Macaca mulatta: one gene and its partner. The protein of the gene in region 1 interacts with the protein of each later gene in a pairwise test. Links are inferred from orthologs where the notes say so. Each region holds a gene or a part of one and is shown on either strand. Other genes may lie near its edges. The genes, in order: CCNK and CDK18.

Region 1 (3,817 bases):
CCAAGCCTGGGGCTGTGCCTTCACTGAGGAGACGGATGGTTCACCTGGGGATCCCGGGGCGGCCAGAGAGGTGCTGCTGCCTCCAGGGCACTGAGTAGCTGCTGTGGAGGCCTCAGAGCTCTGCTCCCTCCCACATTACAGACAGCCAGGAGTAGGCCTGGGACTTGAGTGGGACCTGGGAACCAGATACACTGCCAGGAGGCCATGGCTGGAAAGAGCAGGGCCTGGGAGGCACAGTAAAGCTGGGCCACGAGGAACGGAGGGAAGCACGCTTCCTGGGAGGCCCTAGACCATGGGAAGAGGTGTTCAGGTCAGCAGTGATGTTTAGGGAGGGGTTTGGTGGCAGTGTATGGCACTTGGTCAGGAGCAAGTGTACAGAGGGAATGGGGTGCCGAGGATAGACCCCCACTTGCTGTTCGAGCTCAGTCACACAGCACAAGGGCGGGTGCACTGGTGACTTGAAGATTCAGGCTGCAGGGTCGAGTGTTGGAAGAGTTGGCTTCTGCAAGGTAGAGGAGCAGGCCTGTGGCCCAGGTGGCTGTGGAATGACACACAGGAGGCATTGAAGGGTGTCAGCGCTTTTCTGCACCTCTTTTTTAGTCAGCTTCTGGAACCACAGGGCATCTGGCCCTGACCTGGAGCCAAAGCCAGTTCTCTAAGGCCAGGCATATATGGCCTTCCTGCCCAGTGGCTGGCGAGGGCTGATCTGCACAGGCAGTCCCCAATGGCACACCTGTTACCAGCCCAATCAATCCTGCTCATGCTCGCTTTGGCAAGATCAAACGGGTTGTGTGCCAATGGCCACGTCTACACAACCAGGATGTCATGCTCTGCCTTCCCTAACCCAAGTGCCTGGGGAACCAGAAGCATCTTCATGGCCTTTGTCCTCTTTATGTTCTCTGGAACCAGAAATGTTGTGCCTATGGTTTGTCTCCTGTGCTGCCTTGGGAAAGGACACTCATTCTGTGTGTTTGGCTACTTGTGGTGGGGTGTTCCGACGCCATTTTCCAGGGGTCTGATGGTGACCAAGAGATCACAGGCCAAAATGTGTTAAATAAGGCTTTGGCGGAAGGGGGCATGAGGGCTCATGGGCTGGGAGGCGCTGCGGGAGGGGCCTGAGGCTGGTTCTGAGCACAAGTATCTTGGGTGTGCTTGACACCTAGTGCTGCCTATCCCTGCTGCATACACACAGCAGCACGCACACACACAGCAGCACGCACGCACACAGCAGCACGCACACACACAGCAGCACGCACACACACAGCAGCACGCACACACACAGCAGCACGCACACACACAGCAGCACGCACACACACGAAGCATGCACACACACGCAGCACGTAGCACGCAGCACGCACGCGCAGCACGCTTGCACACACTCCTCTCAAGGAGGCTGCTATCTGAGAGTACGCAGTGGGGTTTGATCTAACCCCTCTTGAGTAGAATAGAACCTGAATTGCTGCTTCGATGGGTACATTGGGAATGTCAGAGACTTGTACGGAATTATTTTAAATGCCATCACATTCATTTGACCAACTCTGAGGCTTTCTGCAAAATGCCACTGCTGCAGACAGGAGTTCAGTGTGGCCCTGACTCTTGGGGTCAGTTTCTGAAGGCAGAAAAACAGAGGAGCCCCCACACATTTTACACTAGGAAGAGGGGGCTGGGGCCAGGGCACAAGGGGGCTTCGTGTGCTGCCGAGACTGCCTGCGGGTGGTGTGGTTAGGGCTGAGGGAGGGAAACCCCAGCTCATCACAGACAGGGTGGAGGGCCTTTTTGACAAATGGTGGGGAGACATCTGGTGGCATCAGGACATGGGGAACGGGCCCATGTGTTGGGCCACAGAGGAAGGGGCAGCTGCTCCCTGCTCCTCTGTAAAGATGGCCCTGAAGGGCCAGGAGGCACTGAAAAAGCAGCTATTGCTTGCAGAGGCCGGGCACCAACACATCTCTCTCCTGCAGACCGGAAGCCTCCCCTCGCTGCTGCCTTAGGTGAGGCTGAGCCGCCGGGCCCTGTGGATGCCACTGACCTCCCCAAAGTCCAGATTCCTCCTCCGGCTCACCCGGCCCCTGTGCACCAGCCACCGCCGCTGCCACACCGGCCCCCGCCCCCGCCGCCCTCCAGCTACATGACTGGGATGTCCACCACCAGCTCCTACATGTCTGGAGAGGGCTACCAGAGCCTGCAGTCCATGATGAAGACCGAGGGACCCTCCTACGGCGCCCTGCCCCCCGCATACGGCCCACCTGCACACCTGCCCTACCACCCCCATGTCTACCCACCCAATCCGCCCCCACCACCTGTGCCTCCTCCCCCAGCCTCCTTCCCCCCACCTGCCATCCCGCCCCCTACTCCTGGCTACCCTCCACCCCCACCCACCTACAACCCCAACTTCCCACCCCCACCTCCACGCCTGCCCCCTACCCATGCAGTCCCCCCTCATCCTCCTCCAGGCTTGGGCCTGCCTCCAGCCAGCTACCCACCTCCTGCCGTGCCCCCTGGAGGACAGCCCCCTGTGCCCCCGCCCATTCCCCCACCTGGCATGCCTCCAGTTGGGGGACTGGGGCGGGCAGCCTGGATGAGATAACGTGAGCCTTTTTTTCCCCCTTTGTTTTTTTTAACAAGTTTTTCTAATCGACTTGCAGAGTAGTTGAAGTGGGTAAGCAGCAGGGTACCTTATATAATGCGCGACAGTTGCAGTATGGGAAGAATGGACCAGGCCCCTGGGATAAAATCAGGGTGGTCCTCACATCTAGAGGACGGGGACAGCCAGCTTTCAGAGTAGCCTCATCAGCGCCCTTGCAGTCTGACTGTGTACACTTGGTTCAGCTAATGTCTGAGAGTCCTGCACTGGGTTACTTTATACTAGTGAAGATGTTAACCAGCCATATTGGCTCAATAAATAGCTTCGGTAAGGAGTTAATTTCCTTCTAGAAATCAGTGCCTACTTTTCCTGGAAACTCATTTTAAATAGTCAAATTCCATCTGAAGTCAAGCTGTTGTCATTTTCATTCAATGACGTTCTCTCCCATGACACCCAGAAGGGTCAGAAGAACCACATTTTTGATTTATAGATGTTTGCATCCTTTGTATTAAAATCATTTTGAAGGGGTTGCCTCGTTGGATGGCTTTTTTTCCTCCAAGGAGAAGGGGAGAAATGTACTTGGAAAGTAATGTATGTTTACATCTATTTGCAAATTCCTGTACATAGAGATACATTTTTTAAGTGTGAATGTAACAACATACTGTGAATTCCATCTTGGTTACAAATGAGACTCCTTCAGTCAGTTATCCAAATAAAAGCAGTTCTGAAACTATCCCTTTCTCTGTTAATGGGTGGAAGGTAGGGCTCCAGGCCTTCGCAGTCCCCGGGTGATAACATTGTACAAGCCCCTCCTTCCGGACCCTGGGCACCGGGAGAGGCCTGGCTGCAGTTCACAGGAGCCAGAGCCAACCCCACTGCCTCCCAGGGCACTCTGGGTGGATCGGCACATTGGCCTGCCAAGCCAGCCTGCACCCATCCTGTGCCTGCCTTGGTTTCCTTTGGAGGACCTGGTTGAGTTCCAAACCAGCTTGAAACTTTCAAGCCTTGCTGCATAGAACACAGACGGGAACACAGGCTTGGGTTTGAAACCCTTTCCACTTCTGGCCTGCGATGAGACGGAGGCAGCTGGAGGAGCAGCGGCCTCGCCATCCACCTTGAGGGGCCAGGGCTGTGTCTGTGGAAGGGGCCCCGACTGAGCCCCCATCTGAGGTGCTTGAAGGGCCTTGGCCCTGTCTCTGCTTGCTGACCCTGCCACCCATGACGGAAACAAGC
Region 2 (2,651 bases), on another chromosome or scaffold:
AAAAATCAGCCCAAATTGCAAGCCGAACCGCCAGTGGTGATGAATGGCTGCTGTGACTCCGCCCCGAGGTTCCCCCGGAGAACGGATTTATGTACTTCTCTCTTCCAGTGGGGCACACAGTGGAGAGAGTTTGAGACAACACTGCTGAGAGAATTGCCACATGGGCGCTGGCTGCACAGACCCAAACCTCACAGAGCGAAAGGGGAGAGGTCGCAGCTTTCCCGAGCCCAGGGAAGCCCCCAGAGAGGGGCTGTAGTGGGGGCTGGGCAGTTCTAGGAGCCTCCACTGCCCTGGGCCACCCCTCCGCCGCCAGAGCCACGACCCCTGCAGCCAGCTGTGGCAGGTCGTCGTTGGTGCCCTGGTGGAGCAGCCCTAGGAAGGGCGGCCGCCCCTGCCTGATGCCGCCCCTGCCCCTTGCTCCCCGCAGGGGCGTGGGCTGCATCCACTACGAGATGGCCACAGGGAGGCCCCTCTTCCCGGGCTCCACAGTCAAGGAGGAGCTGCACCTCATCTTCCGCCTCCTCGGTCAGTCTCCCGCTGCTCCGCCCCTCTCACCACCAGGGGGCGCTGGAACTCCGTCCAGCCCAGGCGCCGAGCGGGACGGGGAGGAGCGGCTCGCCTAGTTCTCTCCCGGGCGGGGACCCCCCTGTGGCCTCGGCCATCTTTGCTCCCACCTGCTACGTTGCATTCCTTTCAAGTCGGCCTTGGCCCTGGGCCTCACTCAGGCCCTCCCCACCTTCTCTCGTCTCCCCAGGGACCCCCACAGAAGAGACGTGGCCGGGCGTGACCGCCTTCTCCGAGTTCCGCACCTACAGCTTCCCCCGCTACCTCCCGCAGCCGCTCATCAACCACGCGCCCAGGTAGCCCCGGCGCCCGCACCGCCCCTCCTGCTGTGGCCCTGGCTCTCCCACCCCCGCTCAGGCACAGCCTGTGTCCGCGCCTTCTCCTTGCAGGTTGGATACGGATGGCATCCACCTCCTAAGCAGCCTGCTCCCGGTGAGTGACCTCCCGGCGGGGCCCAGGGAGAGGCAGCCAAAGAGCCGAAGTCCCCGTGCCCCATGCTAGGCCTACGTCCCAACTTCTGTGGCTCGTGTGTTCACACGTCTTTGAAACATCCCTGTACTCTCCACCCCAAGGCCCAGGGGAGCGCTGGCCTCCATACACATCCTCTGGAGTCTCTGCACTGCGAGCCCAAACCGTTACTAGCTGTGTAGCTCTGGGCAAGTTACAGAGCTCCTCCATGTCTCCGTTTCCTCCACTGCAAAGTGGGATTAATTCCTATTTTATAAGCTGGCAGTGAGGATACATTGAGATGACAGGACACACTTAGTGTGGTGCCTGTCTTCTAAGGCACACGGTGAAGGGTCGTTATCGGCACAACGCTATGTTCTCCTTCTAATCATGGTTGGTTTGCATCTGTATTTCTATCTCAAGAGAAGGTCACTGTCCTCAAGTTTCATTTCTGGTTTTTTCTGGTGGCTGGAGACCAAGGAGCCTTCCCCTGAGTCTTGAGATGGCTTGAGGTTGGATTTGTGGTAGGGGCTGGAGGCTGACCTAGGGCTTCTCCTGTTAGTCTCAAGCCCCACCCACCTTGGTGCTCTAACCAGCACAAGAGTCCTGCTGCTCAGAGGGTTCCCTGCAGCCCCCCAGCCAGGGCCCAATAGCCCCACCCTGTGCCTTTCAGTATGAATCCAAGAGTCGCATGTCAGCAGAGGCTGCCCTGAGTCACCCCTACTTCCGATCTTTGGGAGAGCGTGTGCACCAGCTTGAAGACAGTGAGTGTTGTCCGGGCAGGGAGCAGGGCCACCCAGAACCAAGGAAAGGGGGTGGTGAGTGTGGGTAGAAGAACCAGAACAAAGAGGCCAGAAGCCCCAGGCCCAGCTGAGCAGCCCTCGGCACCTGGCCTCCCCTGCTGGGGTTCTCACTGCAAACTGAGGGGGCAAACAGTGGAAATGAGACGCTGCCTCCAGGGCTCAGTTGGTCCCGCTCCACCCAGCTCTCTCTCCACCATGTCCTCTCCCCCAGCTGCCTCCATCTTCTCCCTGAAAGAGATCCAGCTCCAGAAGGACCCAGGCTACCGAGGCTTGGCCTTCCAGCAGCCAGGTAGGGGCTTGTGCTCTCCTGGAGCCCTTCCCTTGTTAGTGGAAGCCAGGACAGGCTACCCCTCCCCAGTGGGGAATCCCATGGTCCCTCCGCCACTTTCTTCCCTTTGGAGTCTTCAGGGAGCAGAGAAGGGGTTGGTTTCTCCTGCCTAGGCTTCCTCGTCCAGCTCTTCCCTCTTCAACCCTCACCCCAGACAGGACATTGTGTTTGACAGTAGCCCTGGCAAAGAGGCATGCTGTCTCTGGTGCATTCTCTTTGCAAACTCTGAGCTCTCTAATCAGATTCCATCCTGGGAGAACGGTCCTTTGTTCCTACAACAGTCAATGGCCTTGGACATTGACAAATGCTTCCCATGCATCCTGTCCTTTAATCCTTAAAACACCCCTTGAAGTTGGTACTACTACTGTTCCCCATTTCATAGTCAATGAAACTGAGGCTCTGGGAGGTTAAATCACAAGACATGCAGCTAGTAAGTAGCAGAGATGGGATTTGACACCAGGTCGGACCCACTCCTGTGTGCATGCCCTTGCTTGCTCTGTCAGAGCAGC

Evidence for each region.
Region 2: the proteins of CCNK (region 1) and CDK18 interact in binary tests that used the Homo sapiens proteins (3 or more experiments, as listed by UniProt). The two-hybrid records come from large-scale screens. The link is inferred for Macaca mulatta from reciprocal best matches to the Homo sapiens genes CCNK and CDK18.

The regions. Positions count from the first base shown.
Region 1 is NC_133412.1:172,832,400-172,836,216, forward strand, and holds the end of CCNK (cyclin-K), read left to right. Parts: intron 1-1,961; coding exon 1,962-2,587; 3' UTR 2,588-3,317; downstream 3,318-3,817. UniProt on the Homo sapiens protein: Regulatory subunit of cyclin-dependent kinases that mediates activation of target kinases.
Region 2 is NC_133406.1:63,289,655-63,292,305, forward strand, and holds part of CDK18 (cyclin-dependent kinase 18), read left to right. Parts: intron 1-108; exon of another isoform or gene 109-427; coding exon 428-525; intron 526-754; coding exon 755-860; intron 861-953; coding exon 954-996; intron 997-1,684; coding exon 1,685-1,775; intron 1,776-2,025; coding exon 2,026-2,103; intron 2,104-2,651. UniProt on the Homo sapiens protein: May play a role in signal transduction cascades in terminally differentiated cells.